Linked DNA regions of Neodiprion lecontei. The protein of the gene in region 1 purifies or fractionates together with the protein of each later gene. This does not show direct contact. Links are inferred from orthologs where the notes say so. Each region holds a gene or a part of one and is shown on either strand. Other genes may lie near its edges.

What was found.
Region 2: the proteins of bystin (region 1) and serine/threonine-protein kinase RIO2 purify together in Homo sapiens (affinity purification with mass spectrometry; 3 studies listed by BioGRID and IntAct, with this or other methods). This does not show direct contact. The link is inferred for Neodiprion lecontei from reciprocal best matches to the Homo sapiens genes BYSL and RIOK2.
Region 3: the proteins of bystin (region 1) and RNA-binding protein pno1 fractionate together in Homo sapiens (co-fractionation; 4 studies listed by BioGRID and IntAct, with this or other methods). This does not show direct contact. The link is inferred for Neodiprion lecontei from reciprocal best matches to the Homo sapiens genes BYSL and PNO1.

The regions. Positions count from the first base shown.
Region 1 is NC_060263.1:25,728,811-25,740,827, reverse strand, and holds bystin, read left to right. Parts: upstream 1-4,964; 5' UTR 4,965-5,084; coding exon 5,085-5,228; intron 5,229-6,730; coding exon 6,731-7,656; intron 7,657-8,036; coding exon 8,037-8,268; 3' UTR 8,269-9,457; downstream 9,458-12,017. Other genes in the region: DDB1- and CUL4-associated factor 7, read right to left, coding at 424-658, 1,537-2,089, 2,932-3,184; ribonuclease H2 subunit B, read right to left, coding at 10,460-10,475, 11,825-11,907. UniProt on the Homo sapiens protein: Required for processing of 20S pre-rRNA precursor and biogenesis of 40S ribosomal subunits. May be required for trophinin-dependent regulation of cell adhesion during implantation of human embryos.
Region 2 is NC_060262.1:6,597,752-6,609,469, reverse strand, and holds serine/threonine-protein kinase RIO2, read left to right. Parts: upstream 1-5,531; 5' UTR 5,532-5,931; coding exon 5,932-5,997; intron 5,998-6,396; coding exon 6,397-6,538; intron 6,539-6,836; coding exon 6,837-7,215; intron 7,216-7,775; coding exon 7,776-8,060; intron 8,061-8,155; coding exon 8,156-8,783; 3' UTR 8,784-9,307; downstream 9,308-11,718. Other genes in the region: protein zntD-like, read right to left, coding at 672-682, 758-956, 1,062-1,226, 1,321-1,708, 1,937-2,283. UniProt on the Homo sapiens protein: Serine/threonine-protein kinase involved in the final steps of cytoplasmic maturation of the 40S ribosomal subunit. Involved in export of the 40S pre-ribosome particles (pre-40S) from the nucleus to the cytoplasm.
Region 3 is NC_060262.1:28,526,354-28,535,966, forward strand, and holds RNA-binding protein pno1, read left to right. Parts: upstream 1-7,036; 5' UTR 7,037-7,171; coding exon 7,172-7,270; intron 7,271-7,384; coding exon 7,385-7,474; intron 7,475-7,716; coding exon 7,717-8,244; 3' UTR 8,245-8,753; coding exon of another isoform or gene 8,754-8,916; 3' UTR 8,917-9,113; downstream 9,114-9,613. Other genes in the region: EARP-interacting protein homolog, read right to left, coding at 8,754-8,916, 9,146-9,442, 9,525-9,613. UniProt on the Homo sapiens protein: Part of the small subunit (SSU) processome, first precursor of the small eukaryotic ribosomal subunit.

The DNA.
Region 1 (12,017 bases):
ATTATGCAATGAATAGGAGGCCTTTATGTAAGTTTTTCCTTTATAAATTAAAGGAAGTGTTGTCCCTGACTGATGCAGACATTCTTTTTATTTTATCAATAAACTATGGTTTTCGGATAATTTGATCTGATCTACATTCTCCATACTGTAGCCACCCTGTGTCTGATCATAGATTATTATTAGCTGTACGAATTTTTCGGTAAAGAAATCTACATAAAAAAACGGAAGGAGTTTGAAATATGAGTTCTAGAATATTGACTACACGTTCTCCATTGTTTAAGGTGCCTTGAAAGATATGGATAATTATTTCTTTTTTCTTAAATAAAAGTTACGTGTTCGAGATTTTATTTCCGTATAATTCCATGTTTATTTGTATGTGCAACCTCAATTTTATTTTAAAACAAATAACGTAGCAGATATTACCTAGACTCGTAGGATTTCAGCAGACTTATTGTAACAGATTGCAATCCAATCCGGTTGTGTTGCACCCCATTGGATCTGATTAACTTCACCTTCTGCAGCTGTGTACGCAAGAATTGGATCTTCTATGGCTCTTGGCATCTGCTGAATGTCCCAAATTAGTGCTTGGTGATCATCACCAGCCGTACAGATATGACAACTTGAATGCGGCGCCCAAGCTATTCCATTTACGCTTGCTCTGTTATAATAAACAAATCGAAAATATAATTATTATCTATAGATTATCTATATACATATATAGTAGATATCATGATCCATAACTTTGGAGTGAAATTGTTTATTCTATACGTGATTCTAATATTGATACTTTCAATAATGTTGTACTTTCGAAAACTTGGTGATCAGGAAATACTTTTTGATCAAATTTATTGTCATTCGGATAATATACCCAATAAAAATAGGAAAAATGATCACGAGTGAACTGTTGACATTAATATAACAACATAATATATTCAACATGACTATTTGATTTATCAAGTTGGTATCGTTCAATATGTAATTTTTTAAGATTGCTCTGTTGTCCATTTTGACCAATAAATAGCAGATTGATTCAACTATTGGATGAAAAAAAATATATTTTCAAGAAAATGTATGAAACAGTTTTCCAAACAAAACAAGTCAGCGTGAACGTTACAAATTGAACGAATCTATTGAAATTGTCACCGTTTGAAGTATCTTGAAATAAAAAAAAAACGGTGTTGAAGTTTCTGTTCGTAATTTCAGGCTCTATTTCTTTTTGCATTTCTAGGAAAATTACTGTATTTGTAAATATAATTTTCTTAAACTTGACTAACTTATCTTAAATGGTCTTAGATTGAATGTGAGCAAGAGTACCTACAACTTCTTTGATGGGACTGTGCTATAAAATTCACGCTATATGTAATATTGATAGTGGAGCATTGCGGCTTATTTTCCTTGTAACAATGTTTCTTCCAAGAAATAATTTCCCAAAACGAGAAAACTTTTAAAACAATTTGAAGCTACATTTGAAAAATGACATCATTGAAAATTCGATAGTGTGATGAAGGCAAGTAAGAACTATTGTGTCATATGTACCTGTGGTTATTTAGCCTAGCGACTGGTGTGCAAGGAACTCGAACATCCAAAATAATTACTTCGCACGCATCCATGGCAACGGTGGCTAAATAATTTGGATCTTGTTTGTTCCAGGCAAGGCGCAACAGTGGCGTATGCTGAGGATCTTCATATATAATTGTAGAATGTTCCAAGTGGCGCAAATCAAACATTCTCACAGACCCGTCAGCTCCTACCGATGCAAACATATCTCTTCCTCCGCCTGCTCGACTGAATGCAATATCATAGACCTCCTTGTCATGAGCAATCAATTGTGTTTTAACGTGACCAGCGACCACACTAATTCTCCCAACTACCTGCCCAGTTTCTAAGCCCCATATTGTGCAAGTTGTATCAATACTTGATGTTCCAACTAAATTTGGATCCACTTCATTCCAGTCGAATGATGTGAGGGGTGCACAAAAATCCGAATTTTTGTTATTATTCAGTACACACTCCAGTCGTGTTTCTGCGTCTATTGCACGCCAAACCCGCAGGTAATCTCCAGATGTGGCCAGCAAATCAGGAAACAGAGCTGCAACAAAATGTGTGTTATATTGAATATACCTATGAAGTTATTGATTTATACGATTGAAATCGGCCACAGGTTTTATCAACTTATTGTGCATGAAATCATTCAAGATTCATTGCAAAGAAACGATTCTTGATGAGGCAGCAAATTTAACAGGTGTGGTTAGTTACAGTAATCGATGCCACAATTTATTGTCTATTTAACATAAGGCTGAGCTTTGAGGTTAAAGTTTATAGCAGTGATGTAAATGGTTCCCGTAACATACAAATTCATAAACAATGGAACATATAAATGTGAGTTTAATACAAATTGTAGACTAGATCTAACTGTGAAAGTCTTAGATGTACAAAGCTGCACTCATGCTTGCAATTGTTTATTGATATAAGTATTTAAGATTAGTTATGGTACTATTAACGATATTTATTAATTTCGCCGAAGATAGCACACTACAGATTGACTCAAACTTGCATACAAAAAACTATCTCATTCAAAAACATGGTTTCGACCAAGCAGAAAATACCAAAAGAACTTCATGCCTCTGAGCATTGACATAAGAGGTTAATAAACTGTTGGCGATAATTCAAACCAAAAAAAAAAGCGAATTCAAATAAAACAAGTTTTGTATCGAAGTCTGACTGTGATAATGACATGCTGTTTTCAACATAATGATCACATGTAATCAATAATTCTTGAAAAAATTCTAGAAGATTACATCAATGAAAAACAAAAGATGACCAGTTTGTTCAGCTTTAAACTGAGTTATTTACTTTCAACAGTATTATACAATAAAGTGAGCTCGTTGTTTTACTTTTTGAGGATACAGTTGGTATAAGTGAGCTACGTACACTTGGCGTCAGGTATCCACATTATTTTGGTCGTTGGATAGGGATGATCGAAGGTACTTTTGGCAGTAAACTCGGAAGTTTCCTCATCGAGCGAAACAATCTGTACTTTGTTGTTATATTCTTCAACGAAGCTGCCTAATGCTAGACGAAATCTTTTGTCGGGGCGCACCGACCAGTTCATACTGTAAAGTGGCCACGGTGCTTCATATTTGTAAATTTCTTTTCGCTTTGGTGGAACACTATGTAGAGCCATTTTTTACCAACAATTGTTGAACTATTCAGTTCAAGTATTTACAGCATTAAAGCAATTTCTGCTTATTGTTTTTCTTCTCACAGAATAGCCAAGACCGAAATTCGGATCTTAGAATGCTACCATTCTATGGACCGGAGAGGATTTAAATTTGCGACTATGTTACTCAACTTTCAATCATTGTTGACATTTTATACACAAGAGTAATACAAGATTGAAATCTTCGAAATCACTAAACTATGTGACGATAAAATGTGAATGTTCGTTCATTTAAAACTCGTCCTTATGCACATTTGTTCGGAATTTTTTGTAAACACAATGGCAATCATAAAGTAAACACAATCGTATAGATCATCGACTGTAGCAGTTCACTAAGTCACAAATAACGTTCCGACTGTTCAGCTCCAGAAGTACAAATACTTAGACACTGACCCCTTCGATATTCCTAGTAGTTTTTTTACGACCCACCAACACGGGTCGAATTTTCATGGGCAGCAAAATGCTTCTACAGTATTTGCTGTCGAAATTTTCACTTTATTGTAAGTATGCGAATAAAGCAAGGAAGCGCTACTTAAACTCGGAGCAAACCTCTATCCGTGAGCGCTGAAACCGGACTACCGTCCCGTCCCACTCAGGCACGCTACTCGCTCGCTTTGCGCTTCTGGTTCTGCGCATGCGCGCTGCTCGCTTACTTCCCCCACTCTCTCCCGTCTGGCACGCGTGGTGCGGAGACTACCCCACAGTACAAAAATAATGGCGCGCAGCGTCTAAATAACGTTCACTATACTGCACATATGCATGGCGACAGAATTTCTACGCTCACCATGTCATATAATTTTGAAAAGGTCGTTTATATTAGATCGCCATATCAATCGCTAACATACCAGCTGAAGGTGATTTCGTTTACTACTAGGGTAAGATCTATGGCATATATGAAAACTAGCTTTACTAAGATGATTTATTGACTAAGGTAAGTGTACCAATTATCGACACGTCTAGACCCAATGATTCATCCATTTATTCTTCTAAATTATAAATTGAAGGCACACATTGCAAATTTCTCGATGACTAAAACCAATTCCTAGAAGGTTAGACACTACAAATTTATTTTTAATAATTTTATAACTGAGGATTAAGCATATGCAACCAAAAAAGGTAAATAATTGGGCCAGGGTCAATAACTGGGAAGGCTGGCAGGTTTTGTGCAAAAATTAAATCTATCACAAATATTATTAGTTAAGAATTACCATTTTCAATTGTAAGCCCGACTTTTCAAGCGACAGGTATGCGAAAGCAAGATCCACGTTTATCATTGTAAATTACGAAGTATCTGTTAATCAGCATAAATTTAATCAAGTCCACACGTAAATGATGTGGGCAAACGTATAAAAGAAAAGGAAAAATTAATAAAAGTAAAATATATAGTTAGCCACATCGGATATCGCTCTAGCGCGCTACCCGGTGCGCCACGGACTGCGTTGTCGGATGGTGACCGTTTAGTGTATATAACACGCTCGTAGTATTTCGAAATTGATTTTCTCAAAAACTATAGACTTTGAAATCGAACGTCTTTGGGGAATTGTTATTCAAGTCCTCACTGCTCAGTATCATAAGTATGAAAAATATGAAAAATGTCATTAGTGTAGCGTTCCCTTGTTAGAGCATATATACTAAGAGGGTGGTTACAGAGATGATAGCCGACATATACCTCTCTCTGTCACTCCTCCGCTACACTTTCTGTACACGCGAAGCTATCTCCAGTAGTACATGCTCTAAGGTGACTCCTCGCCCCTAAGAACATATGCTTCAGTGTTGGTTATGTATGTGATTCTAGCCACTATTCCACGTGCTGTCATTACTTCTCGATTCATCATTGACAATAAATTAAAATAATCATTGTGAAATGGGTAAAGCGAAGAAAATAAAGGTTTCGAAGCGAGATCGTCAGGATGTTAAAATTGGCTTAGCAGAACTGATAAACAGCGAAAAAGTGGTTAAGCCGAAGAACAGGACAAAAATTAGGCATCGACAAGATGAAGATGAAGAAGTATGTGTAATTCATCACAAATAAAAGTGGTTTTTTCATAATATCAGTCTCTGAAATTGAGTCGAACAAAAATTATCCCAGTTTTTCATGAGGTCGAAGTTCGTCACGTTAATTTAATGACGCAATTTTACAAAACATTTCCGGACTTTAGAATTTACATCTCAAATTATGTAAACCGTAATGAAGCAAAACATTCTCAATTTTTGAAACATCAACTCTTAGGTAATCCTATGGTTGCTAGTTAATAATTAGTTGCTCAATGTTCCATTTAGTCAATGTCACCAATGTCAAATTATTATATTTTTGTTACTGTTTAATAATTTTACACCAATTACAGATCATGAATATATTCTCCGCATTGTCTAAGCAGCTTTGCAATAATATCTTAGAATGCATGTTCTGTTATTGTTTGCTACATTTGAAAGGATCCTATAATATTGCTAAATACTATAGAATCTCAATTATCTGAACCTTAGGTCTTCAAACTCTGAATTATCCGAACATTGACTCAAAAAAACATTGTTAGCACAAAATATACATTGTTGTTCTCTGCCGTTTGATGAGAACCTCGCATGTTTGAACATACGTGAGCAGATTTTTCGTTTTTCGGCGCTATTCCACTTGTAATATTACTTCTACCGATAAAATAAGCGTTCGGTGTTTGAAAGAGATTTAATATAAACTGATTATAGATTCAAATTTGTGTTGTATATGTTATCATATCTTGAGATGAAAATTGCATTCCAGTTATTCGAACTTTTGATTAACTGAACTAGGCTCGGTCCCAATTAGTTCGGATAAAAGATGTTTTACTGCAATGGCTTAGCCTTTATAAACACATCGTGACATAAACATTACGATCCTCAGCCTCATAAAAAATTTTGTTGAAAATATCTAACGTTTTCTTGACATTTTCATTCAATATATGTCCCATTGAAGAATTATCTTTAAGCTCTACAGCATAATTTTTGTTATAATTTTAGACATTTTGTTTGATTAATTTTCAACCTTGCGTGCACATCTTGATAGATGCTAGTGCAATAAAAACATAACAGTATGAAAAATAAAAACTTGCTGTGTGGCTTTAAAAAGTATCACCTCAATAATCTATACAAAAACCCTGCAAATTGTGGTTTCTTAAGATTCAACAAAATATTAACATTTCATTCTACTTAATATGCCAGCAATGTGTTTTAAAATGGACCCCTCCAATCAATGTGGTTTTAGCCTGTGCCAACCCATTTACAAGTTTTTGCCAGCATGATCTGTCTGTTACACTAGGCCTGGCTCGATTAAAAATTGTACCTGTGTCCGCATAGGTGGTGACCACGTTGCTTGGAAGTGTCTGTTTCAAGAGGCATTCATGATGTTTGTGGCAATTGCATGAGATAAAATCATTCAATTTTCAAAATATTTACTTCGGGCGATTTTTATACGTATCTGTTTTAACCACGATTTTCACCTGACAATGAGTGGTTATTAAAGTAAAATGAATATTTCAGTTTGTCGACTCTGGTCTTTCACAAAAGATTTTATCACAAGCCAGGCGTCAACAAATGGAAATGGAGGAGGAGGAGGATGAAATGGAAAGACCTTCGAAGTCTCCAAAAAAACCTGTTACTAAACTTGGCAATGATGATAGCGAGGGGCAAGCAGAATCGAGTGAAGATGAAACAGGAAATCACTTTTACGACAACATAGAAATTAATGAAGAGGATGAACAGGCTTTGGAAATGTTTATGAACAGAGATAAAGCGCCGATGCGAACTCTAGCTGATATCATAATGGACAAGTTGACTGAGAAAAAGACTGAAATTCATACACAATTCTCTGATGCTGGTTCCATTCAGATGCAGGAACTTGATCCAAGGGTTCGACAAATGTATGAAGGAGTTAGGGATGTGCTGGCTAAATACCGCAGTGGAAAATTACCAAAAGCTTTCAAAATTGTGCCGAATTTGAAGAATTGGGAGCAGATATTGTACATTACAGATCCTCCTAAATGGTCTGCTGCTGCCATGTATCAGGCAACTAGAATTTTTGCATCCAATTTGAAAGAGAAAATGGCACAAAGATTTTTCAACCTTGTTTTATTACCTCGTGTCAGGGATGACCTTGCCGAATATAAAAGGCTGAATTTCCACCTATATCAAGCATTGAGAAAAGCTTTATTCAAGCCTGGTGGTTTTATGAAGGGCATACTATTACCACTTTTAGAATCTGGTTCTTGTACACTGAGGGAAGCTACCATAATTGGTTCGGTGATTGCCAAAAATTCTATTCCAATTTTACATTCGTCTGCAGCAATTTTAAAAATTGCAGAAATGGATTACACGGGTGCCAATAGCGTTTTTTTGAGAATATTTTTGGACAAAAAATATGCCCTTCCATATCGCGTCGTGGATGCTGTTGTATTTCATTTTCTGAGGTTTGTAATTTAGTATTTATAATTAGTTCTTCTTGTTACAAGAATATACCATTATTTTTCGGATTTGACAATTCAGTGAAATAGATATAGAGAAAAATAATCAATTCTAATTTCTGTGTTTTTGGTTGAAATGAAAACTTGTAGAATATCACTTTTGGTTTGTAACTGCATCAGTCAGTCTGGAAAGTAAATTGATTCTCTATGTGTAATGAACATGCGATAACTAATTCTTATTAGTTATTTTGATCAGTCAAAATTACACTTTTAATGGTGTGGCTCCCGATCACGATTCTCGGACACTAATGATATGTAACACATCCAATGTAAAGGTAACAGTAATCAATCGATTAACAATGTAAATGTTACTTATAAAATTTCAGATTTAGCACAGACTCAAGAGACTTGCCTGTTCTGTGGCATCAAGCACTTTTAACTTTTGTTCAGCGTTACAAAAGTGATGTCAGTTCGGAACAGAGGGATGCTCTGCTGGAATTATTGAAGAAACAATCACATCACTCGATTACTGGTGAAGTACGGAGAGAACTGCAACATGCCAAATGCAGGGATATTGAAGCTACAGAGCCGAAGAGTGAACCTATGTCGATTACATGAGAGGCTATTCTCGGAATTGGCTCAAGATGAGATGATATTAAAGTAATTACGCCTGTAATTCATTGTTTGTAACATGTAAATATTTAATAAAATGTCTAACATAAAATAAAAACCGTGTATCTTGATCAAGAATGTGTCGATTAATTTAAATAAATATTTAATAAAATATCTAACATGAAATAAAAACCGTGCATGTTGATCAAGAATGTATCGATTAATTTGAGTCAAGTCACTGAAGTTTCTTTATGTGTTTTTTAGTCAGATTACAAGATATTCAGTCATAATTTCAACCATATTTTATATGTTTGACGTGTTCTTCTTGAAAGTAAATGAGCTTTTCATGGACAGAGATAGGGATACAGCATAGCTGTTTCTGAATGTATATTATTATATTACATCTACAATATTGACATAATATTTCATCGTACAGCCAGGACAAAAACAAATACTTATCACTTATCCTCATACACTCTTTTCGACTCATACATACTTCTAATTCGAAACTTTTCATAGAGCTATCACAATCGACACCTCCAACTAATCATCAATAATATTCATCACTAATTAAGTACGACAAATATAAAATTGTAGTTTTCATTAAAATGACAAAACGGGAAAGTCGATTCGACGCAATATATAAAATAAAGTACAAAATATTCGTATACTGTTCAAACTAAACACATGGGATAATTTATGTGACTCCACATATACAGATATCAAATATGCTGTACCTCAGTGTCAGCGGTTTTCTGTTTCAAATTACAGTAACCATCAGATATCGTTTACATAATTTAAAAACAATCATATATTTACATTAATATCCTTCATGCATCAGGTGGAACTCAAACACATGTCATTGTTAATAGGATGCAAATCCACAGTAAATGACAATTAGCATTGAAGGTAGCTGTTTTCAAGTATTTGAGAAAATAAAAATGAAGTGCATGACTCTAGATACGAATTCACAAATAGAAATCATAAAAATATGCAATAAATACTGGATATAACACAGTTCAGATATCCAGATGAATGACTTCAATTTAAAGTAGCAAAAGTCGATTCTTGATTTGGATTTCCTGCGTGTAACATAGCTGCGAGTTTTTCAATAGAACTGCATGATAATCGTAAAATATGCTATATTCTAGATTATTATAACATTTCAATATTACCCTAATATGACTTTTGCAACTTTGGCTTTGAAAAATTACAATTAGTGAGGAAGAAATTTTCTGACAATTTTAAATATTGGTTACGAAAAAAATTATTGCTTTTTCGGACAGTCTTTTAAAATAAAGGATATTATAGGAAGCAAAAAGGAGCTAACCAACCAATAATGAAAAGGCTATAATATTACAAAATATATGAGACAAAAAAACACTCGCTTTTTTTCTTTTTCTATTTTAAGTATTACACAAGTTTCAATTGTAGGATTCGTTTGTTAGCTCCTTATTGCGTAAAATGCGTAATACTAGAATTTTATATCTAACGTATTCTAAGTTAAACATTGCAACAGTACAGGATAAATGTCTTCAAAAAACGTCGAGTGTTTACTTTTCACTTGATGTATTAATCTTCGCAGATCAACACCCTAAGTCTTGAATCTTTTCTTTTTAATTAATTCGAAATTCATCCCAAATGTTGAATACTTTTGTATCAGGAAAAGAAAATCGAAGGAATCAAACTCTATGTAAGAGTAATAATAAAATATAATTCGATAATCGTGAAATGTGTTAATATAAAATAAATCTTACTTATGCATTTAATGGAATAAATGACTAATTTTCGTTGAAATATTTTGAGCAACAGTTAACTGACGCAGATTTTGAATTACGTTTGACAGGTGAGATCAAATTATATATTATGAATCCATTGTGATGATTGATTACCATTCTAGATTAACAATTGCGGGGTTTTCTGGGCTATTTTTCCAACAATGTAAGTAGATAATTGAACATTGCTTAACCTTCAAATTTCCTTCAGATATTTTTACCAATTCAAATCTAAAGTTTAACACCAATAGGAACGCAGAGACTTCTCAGAATATTTTGAAGATCTCTTATAAATTTGGAAAACCAACTGGCGATTGATTGTTTCGTTGACTTGGTCACCGCTCATTTCTTCTTAAAAAAACTCGAAATATTCTTTGAACCAGCTGCTGCCTTCTGTCTGGACATCTCTTTCTTCGAAATGGTCAGAGGTTTTTGGGGCTACAATATTTGAAAAGATATTTTTAAAATAATCTGACACTTAGCTCTGGTAACTGATACATTTTAATTCACTGTCACTGTGAGCTCATTTCATGTAAATTTATAGCGAAACTATATTTCATAACCAAAATTAATATAAGACTACCCGATCGAGTCATTTGTTTGATTCCTATTTCACAAGTGCTAAGGCCTACGTTTGTTTTAGAAATTCATCAAGCATTTGACCAGTAAGTGTTCACAATTTATTATCCATTGAGCTTACTAATGTGGAAGTATAATATTTCAATTGGCAATGCATTTCAATGAAGGAAAAGTTGACTTTAAATTGCTGGTATAAAATGTATATTTTTTGTTATAACGAGTATATGTATATTCAGAGTACAGGGAAAACAGGAAAAACATTTGCTATGATTATCAAAATAAAGACAGTTATGAAATAATTTTATATGGTTTAGGATTGGAATATTCCTGCTCTTCATTCAAGGTTCATTACGAAAATGTAATTTTTTACTGTCATACAAGATGTATATCTTTGATAAATACTGAAAGTTATTGAAATCTGTTTTATTATGAACATCGATTGTTGAGTGAGATAATGCCCTCCCCTGAAGAAACAAGTCGCCTCAGTGAAACATAATGAAGACAAGATTTGACGAGTTATGAGTTCTCAGATGCAAGTCTTCCAACAAGCCAGCTAATGAGAACAAAACTAGTTTTCATACTGTTTCAACAAATTGGTTAGAATTTCCTGAATTAAAGCAACCTTTCCAATGCATAAATAGATATTGTTAACTCTGTTTAGAGTCTAAGAAATCAATAAATAAATTTCGTTAATGATACAAACGACTGCTTGATGATCATGTCATGATACTTTTTACACAGCTAGTGTATCCGAAGATATTTGCCACCTGATCCGCAGCCCTACAATCTAAGTTCGCTCACTTATGTCTTTAAGTTACAAAATAAATTTTGCATGAGAGGTTACAAAAACTAAATGTTGTCAGGGTTTGTAATCAGTTCTTTATACTTCAGAATAATTGTCAAACAAGGAATGATTTTCACTTATAAAAGTCACTTTTTCTGGGTTTATTGAAAACTTATTTTATATTCAATCTGGGACAGCAATGTTCATCATGCTTGTCACATCATAAACTATGAACCGATATATCATTAGAAAGCCGTACAAAATTAGGTCTTTGCATGGAAAAAAAGAAAATACATTTTTTAGATGAATATAAAGCAGAGAAATGTAAAACAATATGGTGGAATTTTTTGTTTTTTGTCAAAAAAGATGATTGCAGATGTTACAAGCAATTGAGTTTCACTGATTCTGTAATATATAAATTTACCTTAGCACGGGTGACGTCACATCGTTGTAGTTTTGAATTGGTTGTATTGGCTTCAATTTTCGTTTAATGGAAAAAAGGTTTCTCTGTTTTAAATGCATATAAAATTTTTATATGCAAAGAACAAAGTGTCTAGAAAGCTTGCACAATGAATTTTTCACCTAATTCTGTGAGATCTATTAAAAAGTTGTCATAT
Region 2 (11,718 bases), on another chromosome or scaffold:
TCGTTGACTTTCTCAGATGATTCGTTCATTGACGAAGTCCCTAATAATATGGACATAAAAGATCACATGATAATAGAAATGGAAGGCACTAAAACAACCGTCCCGATCTTCCAGAAAGCCGCAAAGTTACAAGAATGGCTCAAAGTGATGGATCATCACGAGCGCCAAATTTCTAAAATAACCGCAAAGCTTAAAGGCATAGGTGACAAAACAACCAACCAGGAACTCGAAACACTCCAAAGTAAAGTACACAATCTAGAAATTCCAAAGATAAAAGATCGATCAAAAATTGACGCTTAAAAACGTACGGTTTTCGTGAATTGTGCAGAAGATGTACTAATCAAGAAAATTGGATCACTAGGGCTGATATTGGGAGATATTTATGGAACTATAGATAATACCACTAATGGAATGTGGGTTTATGGTAATGCGACGAATCAAAAGTTGGAGGACACTCTCAAAAACTTAGGTTCAAATCGCATAATACTAAACAGAAGATACAGATTGAATAGTCAGCAAACAGAATGTCTATCTATCATATTATTAAATACAAATTTTACAAAAAATATAAAACACTACGATCTATTTATGTAATTTACGATACGTTTCTGGAACTTATAGTCGATGGTTGTTCAATGAGATAGAAGCTGTTAGTCGTTGCCAGTCGATGATTAAGTCGCCTCTGCAAAAAAAAAAAAATACTGTCAACTTCAACTATTCGTAGCGTCAACGAATGAGGTACCGTAAGAATACTCACTTATATACTTCTTGATTATGAATATTATGACAATGCCGGATACGAAGAAAATAAATTGCCAAATTCTTGCCCAGCGGTTTGGAGTGTTCTGCCATCTGGCTCTTTCTCTCGGCAAAACTTCACTGAGAGCCACATAAAGAAGTGCCCCAGCAGCCACAGCATTAAGCGCGGGTATCACTGTTACCCAATCTTGGCTGTTCTGCAACATTGGAAGAAAGTCGAAAAGCGTTCGATTATAAACCATGAAGAGTTGATTGTTTAGGCGGTCTGATCAATCTGAAAGTATTACTCATTCAACACTTACTTCCTTAACCGCCATCCCGATACCAATCCCAGCTACTGAGCCGCCTGCGAATAGAACGATAGCGAATACGTGATGCAAAACTGATACAGATCTTGCCATTTCGACGCCAAGACAGAAGCAGACGACCAATTTGTGCGCAGCTACTGCTATCACGAGGAGCCACACCTAAAAATGTAATTTCCCTCAATTGTTAAATTGTCAGCTTAAGTAAATACCTAAGTGAAGACCTTCGCCATGGGTATCATCAAGCAATCCTTACCTTAGCAGTCTCTGTCTGTACCCCAATGGCAACTCCTTCCAAAATCGCATGCAAGGCCAACGCCGCCAAGAGTCCCGGTAGACTCGCGTTAAAATCAGAATCGGGTTCGATGTGTGCTTCACGAGTAAGTAAGGTTTCGTTTTCATCGGGCCAAAGTGATGGAGTCGAAGGTGTCGTAGAGTGGACCTCATTGTCAGATACACTTCTCTGATTGGAAAATGTGTTTTTCACATTTGGCTCGTACGAACGATCTCGAAGTCTGCCGTGAGTGTAAGCCTGATAAGAAACTTGAGAATCAGGGTTGTGACCGACGTATTCATTGGAGAAATTTCCCTCCCTGGCATCTCTGACAGTGACCTTACAATCATCATTCCGTCGAAGTATTGATCTGAAAGGAATATGATTACTGTTTTGAATGGAATCGTCTGAATATCTTTGTCGTGCATCAGTTTACGTTTCGTTTCAGTTTTATCCGTAAGAAAATGTCGCACAGATTTTCTTCATCGGAGCAAACCCAACAATCATATCTAGCCTCATGAAATACACTAATTCTATTACACTGTCCTACTGCACAGTTTTCAGTGAAGATCACCGATTCAGAGATCTCTAGACTTACGTGGGCTTGATCCTGCGACTTGTTGCAGGTCGATGGACGTGCGGCAAGTTGATGGGTCGACCCCGTATAAGGTAAATCATTTCGTCCACCGCGTAAAGTAAACAGAACCCGCCGCAGAATAATAGCCCTGCGTATAAGGCAGGGAGAGATTGTATGGACTCTGGAAGCATGTGCAGCGCGCAAGTGGCAAATAAAACTCCAGCGCCAAGACAAAGCAATGAAGAGGAGACCTGCCTTCGTTGTCCACTGCAGTTTCTGCATAATACGGGTAATGTTCCGATGAAGATACTCCCCCCGAATATCAACGCCATGGACAACATCTTCGCGACCAAATCGTTGAATTCCATCGTTTCAAGATAGGTACACGATTTGCGGTAAGAGTCGAAACTTTTCTACACCAAACTTTACACTCAACGATTCAACACTCTACAGCTTACCGCGACAAACAGTAGTGAATAATTGCCATGAACTTGAACGAGAGTTACCCCTTTTTTCTTTATTTATAACTCCAATAATCTCAACGGTTCGCAGTGTGTTGTCTGTTGTGCCTGGCATGAAAATGGAATGCTTGATTGCGCTGAAGTGATGAAACCGGAATTATGCACATCGAAGTATTCAGTCGCGTAAAAGTGGTTAATTTTCTCACGGGCGAAAAGGCGTCTACAAATTAACTTCACTTCACGTCCAAGCATACCAAAGCAATGTTTATCCCGACAATACGTCAATGCATTGTGATAATAATTACGAATTATAAATTATGCTCTTGGACAGCACGCAGCAGAGTTTATAAGACACAATCCCCACATAACTTGTTCGATGTAACAATACCAATGATTACGTTATCTCGGAGACTCCGCTATAAATGCTAGATGCAGGTCACCGATAGCAGTAATGCATGTGTTTGATATAGAGAATACATTTGCCAAACAATCATCGATCTCTCGTTTTCGAGGTCACGTGAAGTCGGTCAAGTGGAAGTTTAATCACTGCTTTGAAACAATGAACCAAATTTTTGAAGTTATCTCAAATGCCTGCCTATGGCCTCATAAACATGTTGATTTTCCGAGGCAATGACTTCATGTGAAGATCAATACTCTGATATTATAATTACGACATATCTTCGAAAACGAAAATACGCAAAATTGTTTGCACATTTCACTAAAAAGAAACGCAATAAATAAAAATTCTGTGAATTGTTCTCACTGAACTGAAAAGCACCGTCTGCACGTATGGTGGTGGGTAAATGCTCGGATATAAATACGCATAGAATGAATCACGTTCCGCATGTATGAGGATTTCATCAATTGTCTTTTCACGCAGAGACGCGCCATAAGAATCCATCAAAAAGCAAAAATTGTTAGGCAAAACTTGTTAGGCAAAAATTGTTAGAGAAAAATTTGAGTTGTAGATTGAGTGGACACTTGGGTTTCGTTAAAAAAAAAATGAGAATACTTCTGATATCTATGTAACTTTCTGAAGGGAGAAAGCTATTCCTTATACTCTCTCAATTCTACGCAAAATTATCCTGCACGTAATTCAAGCTACGTAATTGACACTCCAACGGATTGTCATCAAATCACAATTTAGTCTCCAACAGAGACCCGATGGACCTTAATTCGCGTAGTTGTGCAACAAAAATGATTGTAAACGTTGCAAGTTGCATGATTCTAGACTTTTTTTCAATTGTATGTACGCAATGTTATATATTCTACTATTAGTCCCACTCACAACTTCAGAACTAGGCTTACCTTTTAGTAATTTTAAAACTTTCTTTTAAACCTTAGCTTCAGCAAATTGGTCGATTATTTTTTTCAAGGTCAAACTGGCGTGCTATCTTTTTTTTCGATTGACAACGTTGCCAAAGAACTTCGACGATGTTGCAACATCCTATGCCTCAGATAGGTTTCCATAAATTTTAAAACATAAAAGCTGCTTTCGTATGCTGCTGCAGTAACTGACATGGTTCAAAAACTTGTGCATGCAGTAATTGTATCACTGAAACTACTTGATGCGGGGTTGTGAATCAAAAGCAGTTCCGCTACTCCGCGAATGGAAGTTAATTTTGGAAGATGACTATTGTAGCTAGGTTTTAAGCGGAGCAGTTCTGAACACAAGCTTGCTGACAATTCCGTTGAATACCTTGATAACAGCACATCTGATGCAGTCAGAATAGTTCCATCGGATGACTGTAATAAAAACGGGGGTTATAGGCATTTGAAATTGACACTCAACCGATTAACAGACTGAAACCTGGTGTCAAGTTGGGTAATTGTTACATCTAGCATTCTATCAAACACCTCAATTTTGAAACGCTTCTCATAGTTAGAAGTACGTTCATCTCCCCGCAACTCGTCGAAAAATCGCCTAATACGTCGTACTCGCGTTTCGGGAAAAATGGGCTCAATTTTCCATGTATTTGACAACTCAATCGCATCCCAGCCTTCACGGAGTCCCAATCATTTCTCATGTCTGCGAACTGAATAATGAGTGTGGAAAGCATCTCAACTGATTTCTCTATGTCTTTATCAGTTCCTTGAGTTCCTTACTTTACGCTAATAATTCTGCCAACGATAGTAAATTTCGCAAGAAATTCCGCGTTGCTTTGATTCCTCATGTGATTCAATATCGCGACCTAAATGAGTCGAATCTGCGATTCGTTTTACAAATTTCGCATCTGAATTCGATTTATCAAAGAGCCAATACGGCCGACAAGAAAAAATATTTCTTGTTGTCGAATAACCCAACCATCATCTTGTGATTTTCATCGGCCCCTCACCTGTATAAAGATTCGCGCTGAACCCTCGATTCTTGTTACGACCAGTTGTGTCTTTAGCAACACTACCCACTGGTAGACTCAGACCAAGTTTAAAAATTAGTTGTTTGATTCCGGCGGCGAACATTGTGAAAATTAGCTCAATCTGATCGGTAGTGTTGCAATCAACATTTGCATAAGGTTGTTCATTGGCCGAATTTGTTATCGAAGTTGCGTTTGGCACAGATGTATTTATGTGGATCTGCTTATTCATTTGGAGTGAAAATGAGCCCCTGAGGGCGCGGCGTACTGTCGTAATATTACGTCAGAAAACAGTGTAACTGGCGGAATTTCATCAGTCGCAGAGGATTTTCTATAATTGATTTCGCTAATTTAGGCCACGCTACTCAAGCTCGGAGTTTCGATGGCTTCCTTCTCCAACCGCCTCTTCACTTACAGTGTCAACACGCTGCACGATTTCACCCCGAATCCCACATTCAACACGCAGCAATCTCGCTTTTGCGTACGTGAGAAGTGCCCTTTATAACCATTCATATTCATCTGCTTCTCACAACATCGACCGGTTTCCACTCGCGCACGCGACTCAACTCAACGACCACCGGTAACCTCCCGGTAACAACAAAGGGAGCATTCGGAGTCAAGTACTCGCTCAACTATACTTCACTTGTGAGTGAAGTTACGAAGCGCCGCCACCTGGCGGTGAACCTGAGAATTCAGTCGCCGGGCACAGATTACTCCACCGCAGTGCCCTACCCTAGCGTGCGCCCCTCGCTCAGAAGCATCTTGCTCCAACTGCTCCATGGTTGCTACGCCACTGACCCAGACTCAGGTAAGCAACCTGGATTGCTCATCACTAACAGCCTAATTGTAGGCAAGAGATATGCGTATGTAACCGCCTAATGGTATGCAATTTGACATACAAAATTACAGTAAAATAGGTTCATGGAACTGCTTGGAACTGAGTTTCGACCATGAGAGAGGGGCGCACAGTATGGATGAGTACCGCTTTTAATTAACTCTGACTTGTGCCATTTGTTCGTTCACTCAGTGTAATACACGATAAGCCAAAAGAGTTTCAATAATATGTTTTAGAATAAAAGTGAAAAAGTGTTACAAGTGTATGCTCCGTTGAGCAAGAAAGAGCTGACTGCTCTGACACGTGTCTGCAAATTTGCGAAACATATTACCGTAACCTCTAAGAACATAACCTCTAAAAACCATCATGGGAAAGTTGAACGTGACAATGTTGCGTTACCTAAGTCGTGAAGATTTTCGCGTCCTAACAGCCGTGAGTGAAATTAATAGTATCAATGAAAGCACTCTTATTTTTCTTTCGAACTCGAGTACAGCGCTATTTCTGCAGTCGAGTAGTCCATGAATGCAAATCTGCGGTGTGATATCTGTGAGGCGTCACATGTAGATTTTGTTGATGCAAACCAAGATCAATAAAACTATGTTTTATCCATTTATCAATCATTAAGGGTTGAACACAACACATCGGTTCAATTTCTTTTCGCTTACTTTTGTGAGAACCGATACCAAGTTGACATGCAATTTAGACTCTATTATTCATCTCAAATTGTTTCAATGTACAGATCACAGTTTGTGAAATTCCCTTAATAATAATCGAATTATACCTAATAATTCTGACACATTTCTGAAATCATAATTTTATGAATTGTTTCAGATTGAAATGGGAATGAAGAATCACGAACTTGTTCCAGGATCATTGGCTGCTCAGATAGCTAATCTACGGCATGGCGGAGTACACAAATTGCTGAAAGAGTTGTGTAAACATCGTTTGTTGAGTTACGAACGTGGAAAACATTGTGAGTGGTTTTTATTCTGGATGACAAGCAGGATTAGGGAATTTCGGTTGATCTGCTGGATCATAGGACTGCTAACTGCAGACTTCTTTAAGTGCCGGTCGCTTTTTGGACCGTAACTTCCATTTACTTCATCATTTCAAAGGCTTTTAGAGTGTTACCTATTGATTTATTTTCAGAAAAAATTATTAGACAACTTGGATTACTATTTTTATTACAAAACTCATCTTTTTACTATTCGTAAACAGAATCTATAGAGTCGAATCGAATACTTTCATGATTAACAAAATTGTCATTACAGATGACGGTTATCGTCTGACTAATTCAGGGTACGACTATCTGGCTCTGAAGGTTCTGGCAACGCGAGGTGTCGTTTCATCGTTCGGCAACCAGATTGGAACTGGAAAAGAGTCGAATATCTATGTAGTAGCTGACGAGGAAGGAAATCCTGTCTGCTTGAAGCTACACAGGCTGGGACGCACTTGTTTCAGAAATATAAAGGATAAAAGAGATTATCATCAGCACAGAAAATCCATGTCTTGGCTCTACCTTTCTCGAATATCAGCTACACGGGAATTCGCCTACATGAAGGCACTTCTTGATCGAGGATTTCCTGTACCAAAGCCCATCGATTTTAATAGACATTGCCTCGTTATGGAGCTTATTGACGGCAAACCAATGTACGGTTCAAAATTTGTGGGAAACTTCTAATTTTCTATTGACCTGTATGTAGCGAGGTCTGCGCAAGTGAATAACTGAAAAAGTGGGTGAATTTCGTGAATCATGTGCGGACAACTAATTACTCAGTTCAATTGCAGTTTGCTTTATTTAAACGTTTGTAGACCGAGATTCATTCACTTTTGATTCATTAGACTCAATTTTCCGGAAACAATGTTATTAATAATAACGTCAATTTCGCTTGGTGATATATTTTGCCCACGATATCTTAGAAATGGCTTAACCGATTGACTCTAAATTCGGAAAGAGCATTCTTAGATACTTTATACTCTTTGCTACAATCTGGAATTTTCTTTTTATTGAAACGGTAACTATTTATAATTTGAATTCGACTTTTTGTCCAAAATCGACAATATTAATATTCAGTTAACAAAAACTATATGATAGTTGAAAAAAAGTAGGTTCGTATGAAACAGAATAAACTATGCAGGAATACTCTGAAAATTTAGAATAAATTGAGAACAAACTAATAAGTATTGAATACTTTAAATATGTTGGACAGGTGTGGCGTTTACGAGGTTGATGACGTAGAAGGTCTCTACCAAGATCTGATGGATCTTATTTATCAGCTCGCAAATCACGGTGTTATTCATGGAGATTTCAACGAATTCAACATCATGATAACCAACGAAGGAAAGCCAGTAATAATTGACTTCCCTCAAATGATTTCAACACAGCATCCAAACGCTGAATTAATGTTCGACAGAGATGTGAACTGTATTCGGGACTTTTTCAGAAGGCGCTTCGCATACGAAAGTGAATTCCATCCAAAGTTTTCGGATATCTCGTGAGTATTAAATGGCTTATTATTCACTCTTTCACGTGATAACTGCATACCATATTTCATGTTCAAATATTTAATTCCAAATTTCCTCCTTTAAGGCGTGAAGACTGTATAGACATAGAAGTAAGCGCAAGTGGGTTGACAAAAAAAATGGAAAAAGATCTGCTTATAGAGATGGGAATAAATGAAGATGACATGGATAGCGAAGATAACGATGACGAAGTAGCTGACGGATACAATCTAGAAAATGAAATTGAAAAATTGAAACTTGAAGTGCAGAAAGTATCGGAAGAAGACTTCAAGGCAGATCTAGGGGATTCTCAAAAATCGGGCAAAACTACAGAAGCTACGGAAAAAAATACCGAGCCAAAAGATATCAAAGTCGACACAATAGGAAAACAGCAATCTATTCTGGCAGAGGATAACGATTTACAAAAAACCGATGTCTTCGCCCCAAATTTAAACTGCAATGTATCGGACGACGAGTCGGTTTACAGCCAAGCACAGAGCGTGGCTCAAAGTGTTAGAAGTATTTCAACAGCAGCTACAATCGCTCCAGATGTAATTAAAAAGCGAGTTAGATCATCGTTGGAGAAAAGAGCGAGGAAAAACAACTCTAGAAAAACGCTTGCAAAGGGTGAGGCCAGCGCCACAACCAGAAGTCGTAGAGAAAATCGCGACACCATCAGAGAATCTACCGGCTCTGGTATTTGGGGCTGTGAATAATTGTCTGGACGTGTTACTGCGGAACTTCTGTAAAGGAAAAATCGATTATTGGGTGAATGTAAGGTTTACAATACGATGCTTGATTTTCGCGTGTATGTGTACATAATCTAGTGAAATTCTATTTTCTTTTAATCGATCAGCTAAATAATACGGTAAAGCTGTGCGGGTTCCCGAAATCTCGATAAAAAAATCCCAGAATAGTGGGGAAACCGGAAATTGCTAAGAAACCCTAAACGTGGGTAACCTAACTTACCTAATAGTTATCATATTGGGCAAATACTAAATACTAATAATAAATTAGTATATCCAAATAACATCAATATTTTCAAAAAAAATATCTTGAAAATTTTGACAACAATGATGTTCACGGAATTCCGAAAATCTCGAGAACCCTACTCGAAATCAATAAATTTTTTCCGACCCAAGAAATTCTGGTACCCGCACGGCCCTATTATGTAGGTATATTATAATTTATAAGATTCTCGCGAAATCGTGCTCCAGAAAATACAACTACATACAAAACAGCGGTGGTGTTGTTAATTTTATTGTGGTTTGGCTCACAAGATATTCTGATTCACCAGAAAAGTTTAAGTCCCGGGAAGCTCTACGTATTTTCCGTTGATTTAGGTCACTAGCAGCCGTAGAAACTCGCGTTAAATCGCATTATTGAACGCAGGGTCTCATCTTGATCAATTTCCTGATGATTTCTTCGAAGGGCGACGTTCTGCACACTCCTCAAATTGACCGGCCAATAATAAGTTAATTTGCTGGTCTATTTCTTGATTTATTTCTCAAATTTTCGTACATTAGGAGAATCAGACATGTTACCGAATTTTTTACTACTATCATTAACTGCTCAATAAACCAAATTTATCTCAATTTCGAAGAAATCTGGAATATTACTTAATCGGAAATTATAATCAATTTTGTTTCTGTGTTTCACATTCTTTTCCTATTGAAAACAATAAATCTTATCAGTAAAATTAGAAACCTGATTCTTTCTGAGATCTTTGTCGTTACGAAGAAACGTATTTACGCGATTGAAAATGAAAATTCAAGTAATCCCGAATATTTTTCCGCAAACATCGTCGCATGTTTTTTTTCTCGATCATGAAAAATCATGAAAGTATCGATGAAATTTAAAACTTGAGATAAGTCCCGTACAAGATATCGCGAAACGTAATCGTAATTGCACCATTTCACTGCTTTTGATAACAGGAGCGTATTTATCTTCACGTTCAAATTTCAAACTTGATCGAACGCTTTCTGTATTTCTTAATCAGCAATATCTCTCCATCCATCCTTCGTTACGTAATTGTATTTATGTACATCCGCAGCGCAATATAAACGATAAGTTTTAACCCGTAAGACTTTCGATTTTTATCTAAGAAAATTAATTTTTTTTTTTTCACTCGACGTTTTATTCCTCGATCGTGTCTTGCCAGCAATAAAAGATGCGGCCTGAATTCTACTGTAATTTATTATTACAGCTGTTGACTCTACTAAATTATCGTTGAAAATATTGTTACGACATACGGCAAGACTGAAATTTTCACGCGATTCAACTGCCGTTGAATTCCGACGTACAATTTTTAATTCACTCGTCTTCTATCGATCAAATAATTACTTCACTTACAAATCATTTTCATTTCAATGCCGTATTAGTCACTGATACAAAATCAGTTGTCCGTACATTCGTTGGATCGAGTCTGAATCTTTAAATGTTAGTTAACTTTGAGTTGACGAAAGTTTTATCTAGCTTCAGAGAACTTTATCTCTTTCAATCGGCGGTCTTCGTCAAAGGTTCTGCACAATTCAAAATTGACCGCAGTTTCGATTTGTCATATTTTTTGCTTCAATCTTTGCGAAGCGATTGAATTTTTTAACTGCTAAATTATAAACAGCAAACAGTCTGTCTCCGTTAATAAGTATTTTCTATTTTTAGGTGGTTAAAATAAGGTCGAACAAAGCGTTATTACTTTTTCTCTGAATTGGAACAATTCGTATCAACCTGTTTTTAACGATTCTTTTTGTCGTACAGTTCTCGACCTCGATTCGAGTATCGTAATGCCTTAAACGTGAAGGTCGATTATGAAAAGATGTAATTGACTTTTTGACCCGAGTTGAGGGCCTTTTTCAGAATCTGATGCCCGTATGTTATATGTGACTGCAATTGAATTAACGGCAAGTGACAGACTTATTTGCGTAGTAGCTTACATGTACACACGTGCTCAATTGACGCAATTCTCATGACCGCGTTGAATGAGATTAGGAATTAAAATTTGAACTCGTGCATATTGTAAAAACCTATGGTTCGTGTTTTTAATGTTTTCTATTTTTTTTATTATTCTTCACCGGGCGTCACGAGTTTTAAACGAGAAATTAATTTCCATGGAATGCTAGAAAAAGATAAATATCTAGATTAGAAAAAAAAAATCATTTACGTGGATACATGATGATTTTCCAACTGTGAATAGCCTGCTGAACATTATTAATTATTTATGCCTAGGTCAGTACCACCTCAAATTTTAATATCTCTTTACCATGTGTAACTTTGCAATAGGAATAACCCAACTTATTTACTAGCAAATGCCAGAGTCGATTGTAATTAATCGTAATCTCGTCTTTATTATCAACTATACACTGTTCGGAGAAACTATGTATTGTACAAAAAAAATAAGGCGAATATAAAATATAAACAAATATGTTGATAAAAATTTTATCACTAATTAATTAATTACGAACCATTGCGCCGAGTTGAAACTGTTGATAAATCAACGAATTAATGAGTTCAAAAATTAAACTATTTATGTTCGAGCGATGTGGGGATATAAAACACGAAGAAACAACGGGGAAAAAAAAGCAACCACAATCGCGACTAAATCAAATCAACACCTCTGAGTAATATTGATGCTATCTCTCGGCTTGGAGTATT
Region 3 (9,613 bases), on another chromosome or scaffold:
CTTGACAGCCGATTCGGAAACAATTTTTTGTTAACACAAATCCTAGAAAAAACCTGCATTATATACATATATATATATAATAATTTAGGACGAGTGGTCATCTCGAAAGCACAGACGTTTTTATGTGCGTAAAATAAGGTACGGGAAGAGGAGAGAAACCAATTTTCGATGTCAAAAACAGTTTATACATATTCATCATAAATTAGATGACTTTATTTTAAACTTAGACGTTCGTATGCATTTTTCTTTCAGTACAAGTAAAAAAAAAAAAAATTAAAAGAGCGTTGCTGGTACACTTGAAACACACGATCTGCGCAATTTGCGAATCTAACGCATACGCTGCAGCTAAACGACGGAGTTCAGATGTGTACGGTGGATTAAAAACAGGATGGTAATTGATACTCTGCTATTTAATACAATGTATGTATACGGATTCCGGTTACAACTGACTTTCTGTTGTCAGTCTCTGAGCTATGGAAGGATCTCTCGCGTCTGTCTTCGCGATAAAACTCTGAGATAAACTGCCGGCTTTCGACGTAAATTCTTTCGTTATTTTAGGTACAAACACGTTCCAACTTAAAACCTTTCGAGCTAGTTTGTTTAATCGCGGTAACCGGCGTTGGAACCATTTATTATTTCTTTTTAGCAGTTGGCTTACAAATGGAACCTAACGCCCCTGCAGAGTGTGGGATACTGCGCAGCGCATCATTATCTTCGGAATTGGTAACCCCGCTGCACAAGAGATTGTGAACGTTCACCTACTTACCAATCCAGCCGAAAATTGAATTGATTAATTAGTAACCGGTGTACGTATGTGAATACGATGGAATTTATAATATTGAACATGCTGCTATCAAGACTTCTTCGTATTTCTGCAGCTAAAGTATAAATATCATGGGATAATGTCGAACATTTTATTCTACAGGAGTTTGCAGAACGTCGTGTACACGCCTAAGAACTGGTACCAATTGATTATATTTTTCAGGAACAGGCTGGCTTTGAGATCGTAAAAGCTAACGGCTCTCCGAAGAATGCAAAGCAACGAATTCGTTACGTTTGCAGATCATTCGTTCGTTACATTCCGCGGCCTTATTCACTTCGTTCTCCCTGTACACTCGTAGTGAATAATAAAATTTAATCTTTAGTTACGACCCGTGAAAATCCACACTCAAAATTCATGATACCTGCAAAAGAATCTCAGCTTTTGGAACCATTCGTTGAAAATGGTTTAAGAATATCGTATCTAGAATTGGGGTCAAGCTACTGTGCAAACAAATTCTAAAGCTTTCAACTTTTGATTTCAGAAGAGGGACACATATTTGAACAGACTCAAATTGTATAGCTTGTTACCAAGGTTTGTCAAAGTTTAGCAGCACTATCGCCGCAACTTCGAAATTTTTCTGCGGGAAAAAATATATATTGGTTTCGAAAGTTATAAGAAAAAAAATCAACCGTCGGTGGGTTGTCCATTCCTCTTACAAGCATAACGGAACCAATATGATTCAAAAAAATATTTCTAGCTTCTGTTACAAGTCTATAGACGCGATTTAGCTTCCACCTTCACGAGCTTCTTGTATTCGTCAATGAGTCAGATTTCGATTAATTTAAGGAGGTCAGATTCATTCGAAATTAATAAGCAACATTATTTCTTTCCTCTTGGAATTCCACCGCATTCAGCAAAGCGAGGTAATGACCTGCAAAATACATACTGTCAGACAACTTTAATATCGGCTCTGACGTATAAATGATTGGTTTTGAATTTAAAACATTCAATATAACGTAAACTACCGTACTTACCGTATGAATCACTACGATACTGTATCTAAAGTGTGTCTTAAAAACAAAATTGACATAGTTTGAACGCGTTCTGAAATATTTGAGTGGTGGTGTGAAATCAAACCTGCGTTGGAATTCGTTATGTTGAGAGTATATAATACGTATACGTATATATGTAGACATATTATTTAGCAGCCGTTTCGGTTAGGTTAGAAAAAGAAGGGAAAGAAAAGGAAGAGAAACTATGTTAGCTGTCAACGTGACGTCAATGATTTTTATGATAATAGACGTCCGTTGACCGCTCAGCTGTTGTTGTCTGGCTTAAAGAAGGATCTTGTTATAAGTTAGTTAAGGACGTCGATTTATGGTGTTCCGATGCGAGCTGGAAATATCAACTATGTTCATTGCCCCAAAGCTTTCTGGTAACCCAAATAGTTAGTCTCCGAAGATGTTTCAGTATCACTCGATGCGTACACACGCACGTTTTTTTCCATCTTATCTGTACGCATTCACCAAAGATGCGTGTTCCGTGTGCGAGCGTACATCTAGTCACGTTACATTGCTATGGAGAGGATCAAGATTTCCGATTTGAACTCTCGCAGCTCGGTCGAACGCCGGTGATTTACACGTCAGCACGCGAGCGTAATCATGTAAGTCCATATTCACTGTCAATGGATGTTGCCGAAGTGGCAAGAAAAGAAGATCCGTGATCCTTAAATTCGCGTGGGAACCTCAATTAAGTTGGAACGTTCCTGTCATACTTTGTTGGTGATTTATAAATTTATACGTACGCATGTACAACGCTACATACCTGCAATCTTGGAGAGACCTATAATTGCCTATGGGTGTATTCATATAGCTAGTCACCGTCGATGAGACATACTTAACGTGTTTGACGAAGCACTCATCGAGTAGAGAAAAAAATGTTCAATTTCTACGAAGGAGAAATCTGCCAACTTAACATCATCGTCCGACTGTTTGTTCAACGTTCAAGAAGCTTCTTCTATTACGATTTAGGCAGCCATTATACAGAGTTTGTTTCTAATTAACAAATAATCGCGTCGAAGTTCAAACACATGAATATCTTAAAGGTGTGAATAAAAATAGTAAAAGAAAGAGAGAGAACGAAATTCTTAGCGTAGCAGAACAGTGTTAGTGTAAAGTATGACGAGAATTTTTTTGCTAGATCAAAGAAAGAATTTCGCAAGTATTATTATACAACGAAATTCTTTGATAGCTTACCAATGACGTTCACTGAGCAAATAAATTTTACCGTACTACCTTAATACCAGCGATATTCGCAATGCCAAGGTGCCGGAAAGAAGTTTTGTTGTTCTTATTTTAAGACTCTGTTTGAATTTATTTACCGGGACAATAAATGTATACTGTTTCTCCAGAGAAGACGCACGGTGCCAAAATTTAACACTCGCAAGGTGGAATAATATGGGAAAATTGATCGCTCGGGAGAAACGCGTACTGTAAGGGATTCGCTGTTTTCTAACGGCTTGAACAATTTGTCCAGCCCCTGGAATAAAGTGTCTGTCAAAGAATGCAATTTGCACTCGTAAAGGTGCGCGTCCCGGGTCTCCCGGTGAGCAAAGAACTACCGCGTCGCGAAATATATACGACAGAAGCGTATAATTCCGCAGGCATAACTCTTTTATTTCGTGTGCCACCGTTGCGTGGTTCGCGTCGTATTGGCCCAGGGCTATGCAGAAGGGGCATAATATGTGTAGTCGAGAAACGAAGCCCGGGTAATTGGCGCGTCCTAGGGTAGTAATATTCCGGGCGGATCGTTGGGCTCGAGATACATGTAGGATGCCTAGGTATACGCTGTAATTCGGTATTCGCGCGCCAATAATTCGATCCTTGTCAGAGGCAGCAAGATTCTGGGAATATAACTGCACCCGCACGGTTCAACGTATGCGGTATTCATCCATCGGGCTGACGCGGCAGGTAAAACGTGATTAGGTTTGGATCTGTATAGGTATATAGAATATAAGAGGGTAAAAAACGATCCAACGAACGAAGGAAGGAAGGAACAGCGCTGACTCTCACGCGGTGTCCCCGGCTCGCAGTCCCACGCTATTATTGAAACCATACCTACTAATAACCACATGACAATTGGTTAATGGGCCCGGCGGCCGATAGTGGCGAAGGTAGCGAATGGACCTGGTCCCGGGTACCGGGTAACGGGGACGGGTGGGTAAGCTGGCGGTGTTTTTTAAGTATCGAAAAGGGATGTGGAAATTGTTTCGTAATGAGGGTGATGTTAGAACAACGTGGTCGTAGTTGAGTAGTCTTTGTTTTAGAATCCCCCTTGGGGTCCTGAGTGAGCGTTTTACCACACAGGTAGAGAATGCGGCCCGCGCCGTGCTCCCTGCTCCCATGGCCCCTCTGAGCCCCCCAAGAACCGCCGACAACGCCGACGAACGGACGCGCACACATCCAGCGCCCGGATGGATCCACATCCAAGTACCCACATCCAACCCGTCCCTTGCAGGACCGGCAGCAGCCAGCAGCCAGCAGCGGCATCGGCAGCCACCCTGCAACGACGACCAGCCGCCCATTCTCGGTCGCGGACCCCCCTCGCTCCGGCCAACCCGCCCACCATCCTTCCTTCCCAGGACCCGTAGGATGACCGTGTACTATCCAGGTAATGGCTTTATTCCAACAGATAAACTTGCTCTCTAGTTCTAGTCGAGCGTCATCTTCCTCCAGGCAATATACTATTCACGGGTCTCTGCTACGCCGGACCGCGTTCGCTTAATGACAATTTCAGGTAGTAGGAATGCTGGAAACCGAAGATCTCTTTTAACGGAATTTCGTGTACTTGGGAATGCACTCGACAAGTTCGGCTCGCTTTAATTTGTTTCGGTTATGTTAGAACAGAATTTTCATCTTAGACCTTTGGGGATGCACTGCTACAGCCACGCTACCCAACGGTTTGCGGAATTAGTGATGGCATGGTTTTTCGCCGCCCTCCCCCCCCCCCCCCCCCCCGACAACCTTCTCTTTTTCTCTTCGTCTTCCACTCACTTCCACTTCCAGGGAGCTTCCCTCTTCCACTTTCACGCTGACACTGTCTCTAAACTCGACTCTTGTGCCGCTTCTCTCATTCTTCGCCCTTATATTCGCGTCCCATCTTTCGTTAACTGACCCAGACTTTAGTGGCACTCCACGGTTACCGCATTTGCTCGTTACAATTTGTATCACCTCCGGACATAGCTGTGTATTGCTTGAATTCAGATCTTCCAATTGTGTAGCTATTTTAGCAAAAACATTGCTAAACTTGTGTAATTGCAAAGCTGTTTATAATATCTGCTTTACATAATTGTTCTGAACATCGTAACACTGTTCATTTTTCGAACATCATCAAATGTATAAATACACAATATATATTGCCATACCTGGGTCAGGCGAGTAGAGGCTCGCAAGCTCACAATCGTAACTCTTTCGTACGATAAAATCTATCCTACGGATTCTCGAACAGGTGTATCTTGATAATACTACAGATGCATAAAAGATTTCTTGAATCATTTGTCATTTTTATTGGATCATAACGGTCGCTTCAACTAACTAGTCGACGACTTATACGTTGTTCTAGCGTGTAGAGGCAATTCCCATTCCGTCTCGATGCGAAGTAAATTCAAATGAGCAGCTGCCGGTCGAGACTACGGACTTGCGCTGTCAGTTTATACCTAAGATTAAAGTAGAATATGGTACGCCAAAAACTAATTGTAAGATCGGCGGAAATTCTACCCATCGATCGCTTTGCAAATAGGCACTTTATACCTTTTAGTCTGTAACTTTGGCACCTGGAGTAGAAGGGTCAAGCTACTTTCTGATTGCAGGTTCGAAAGATGAAGTCGAGAATTAAATAAATCCAATAATACTCATCCGTATATGATGACTGCATCGAAACGAAAGGTCTTTCGGTTTGGTTTTTTTATTTTGGATTGGTATCCAAATCAATCTGATGCGAAGCGGCCTTCGACAGATTACTTCCGAGTTACTTGATTATTCGTGAATATGAAAGATAACATACGTCCGTCGTCGAAATCTAATATTGCGATCGGGGGAAATATATCAACAATCATGTATGATTGATAAATTGATGACTGTTCGAAAAATATTATTCACAGAATTTTCAAGGTAGATATACATTAATGAGTTTAGTTGAGTGAAAAATTTTAAGCGTAGTCGTCTCAGATGTGCCTACCATTATGACCAAACATTTTAATACTTCATGTACAACGGAAAATTCCATATTGTTTCAACGCAGTGATAAACGTATGTATTATATGAAGAGACGATTATTAATAATTATTAAAAACCCCTTTGTCGATCAATCCTGTACAGATTACATACATACAATTTGAAACTATTTTCAATTACTTTTTCGACATCGTTGTGACTTTTTTTCTCTTGACTGGCTAAGGCAGAATGACGACATCATAGCTAACAGTATACCAGCGGGATAAAGGTAATTTAAATTTCTTGATTTTTATCACGTGCCTCGCCAATTTCTGGCAAGTAAATTGTTTGATATGTGCAGAACTTTATTTATATTTGAGGCTTGGGATTCATAGGAACATCAACTTTATCCTGCAGAACAACGTTGAAGCTAATAGGCTTACAGTGAAGTCACAATCTCGTTCATTTTTACTAAAATTGCACATATATGAAAACTCTATTGCTTGCCTTGAACTTGAGTATAAGGGCATTAGGTACAAGCAACTACAAATATGTAGAGTGCTGAAGAGTTCGGGGGTGCAACAATTAGCCTGCAATTATTGGCTAGTCGACATGGTGCAGTGACGGCCGCTAATGACACTGCTCAATAATTGTATAAAATATTGTTACATCTCCACAATCCCCATCTCGGCGTGGAATTCTACAGGACCGAACTATTTTTATATTTTCTCTGTAAGGTTTCTGTAAATTCCCATGCATTACTACTGAGGCCTGCAGGCGCACATTTAGAGCTTACTGTATATTCGGCTATTTTCTAACGAGTTGTCAGTAATAAAATTGCCATCAATATTGCACGAATAATGCTGAAGATATGCTAGTACCTGAAATTAAATCAACGTAAAATATGAATTTGATGTCATGTCGGTAAGTAAGAGCAAGTGATGTGTCAGATTTCGAATATGTATGTATGTACGAATCATGGTTATTTTGTATCGTCTATGATTGATAGTCACAGAATGCTGAGTCGAGTTATCCTTCGTTTCTCAACGTGTACGTCTATGGTTGAGAATTATAAAAGATCCAACGAGATCTTTGGCTCTCTGCAATAAAATATCCACGCTATTTTGACTTTTTACAGACATTTGTTTTCAAGTTGAAGTAAGATAAAAATTAAAACATATATTAAGTTTGGTAAAACATGACTGAAAACAATGTCGAGATGCAAACCAACGAAGAATTACAATCCAAGGCGAAGACGTCGGGAAAAAGACGCCAGAATAGTGAAACTCACATGGAAGTAAGAGGTTATGTTACTACAAATTCTTAGGTTCTCAGTATTCTTCGTCACTTTTAATCATAACCTGCTATTGTTCTATCGAATATTGGAAAATTTATTCATGCTGATTTTCAGGTCGATGCGGTGAATGGTATCGAAGGGAAGTCGAAAACTAAATCTTCTGTCAAACGAGCCAAAAATGTCCAAGGTGGTGAGCAACGGAAGGTGAGTATTCCAATGATCATTTCGCGATATAGTGAAACTTCTCTTAACAGCGGACACCTCTTTATAACGGACAAGTTAGAAGTCTCCGGTAGAAAAGCATAATGAAAAATATACCTTTTAGTAACGGACACTTCTCTATAGCGGACAAGATTTCTGGTCTCAAAGGTGTTTGCTATTAGGAAGTTTCACTGTAATGTCAACATTTCAACAACATGTTAAAATAATTCACGTGATTTCTTCAGGTTCCAGTGCCTGCGCATAGATATACACCGCTTAAAGAGAATTGGATGAAGATCTTCACCCCTGTTGTTGAGCATCTACAACTTCAAATTCGCTTTAATTTGAAATCTAGAAATGTAGAAATTCGTACATGCCCTGACACACCTGATATATCAAATCTTCAAAAAGCTGCTGATTTTGTGCGGGCATTCATCAATGGTTTTGAAGTCGAAGATGCATTGGCCTTATTGCGGTTGGATGATTTATTTGTCGAAACATTCGAGGTTCAAGATGTGAAACCACTGAAGGGTGACCATTTGTCCAGAGCGATAGGTAGGTTAGCTGGCAAAGGGGGTAGAACAAAATTTACCATTGAAAATGTGACAAAAACAAGAATAGTTTTGGCTGATACTAAAATTCATATTCTTGGATCTTTCCAAAATATACAACTTGCACGAAGAGCAATTTGCAATTTAATCTTGGGAAGTCCACCATCAAAAGTTTATGGTCAATTGAGGAATGTCGCTGGCCGAATATCAGAGCGATTGTAATTAAACGTTTCAGTCAAAACTCCCCAGCAAAATTTATTTTCTTTTTATGTTTACCATATTGCTAACAAACGTAAACCGTGTCAGTGAAAATAACAGTCTTAAATATTTGGATTGAGCAATTGTAACAGATTAGCAAATTCTCATTTGCTTCGATACAAACTGCTTACGTATAATTATGTGTATTTGTGGCTAACTTTTTTTTGTACACTGGAAGAAATACTTCAAACTATTGTACATAATTCAGAGAGAGGAATATAAATCCTACCTTTTGTCTATGACAAAAATTATTTCACATTTTTACTCATGGTTTCAATTATCTCTTGCGAGTTGTAACAAAGTATGTATGTCGAATAATTACATAATACTCTGTATCAACTGCAGGTTGATTGGTATATCAATAATATTGGTCGTCACTTGTACCAGTTGAGCAATTCTTTACTCTTACGCAAAATGAAAACTAGGTTTTTTCTAAATTTATATAAAATTTAATTCTTTATTACTTTTAATATTTACAATAGTATTTGGTACTTATATTTTCGTGGCACTTTGTTAATTACCAGTCTGCCATCGTAACTCAGTGACGCGAAAGTCCACGGGTCAGCAGATGACCATTCAACTCCATAAACACTGTCTTCATGCTCCTCGTACCTTCCTACAACGCTATCTTCCATTCTGAAATTGTTGGTTATATAAAATAGAATTGATCTTCAGAGTCGGTAATAGATCTCTAATCGATGCTTGATCAAAACTTGACTTTGACCCTTGAGTGTAAGTACTGGGCACATAATTGAGCAAGCTCTATTGAAAATTATTCACGAATCCCAATAATAACGAACATGGATTGATATTTATCTCATCATGCGTCATAAGGTGACAAAAAAATAAAATTGAATACGCCTACTTGTTTTTGTTGGAGCCATCATCGGTTTGCGCAGGTTCGTCTTCGCTTGAAATTAGGTGACCAAACGGTTCTGAAGAAATAGATGATATACTGCATAATATTACTCGAGAATCACTACTAGATGTTAGAACTAGTTGGTCGTGGAAACGGTTTATTCTGATACTCCAAACCCAATGAGAATGCTCCATTCGCGACATTACAGGCTCAGATGGCTGTCGGATATCCCAAAATTTCATATAGCCATCATCACCACAGGTTGACAAGATGTATTGACGGTTGGTGTTAAAATCCAGGTCTCTGCAATGTCGTAGGTTCAATACATTGTTGCTGAATTTGCAAAATTTAGTGAAAATATTTAGATGAGTTGATTAATCTTCACCTTATAATTTGAGAGTGAGCTGACTGGATTGCCCACACCTGATCAGTTGGATTTCTAAAATCCCAACCACGCACGTGGTTGTCATTTAA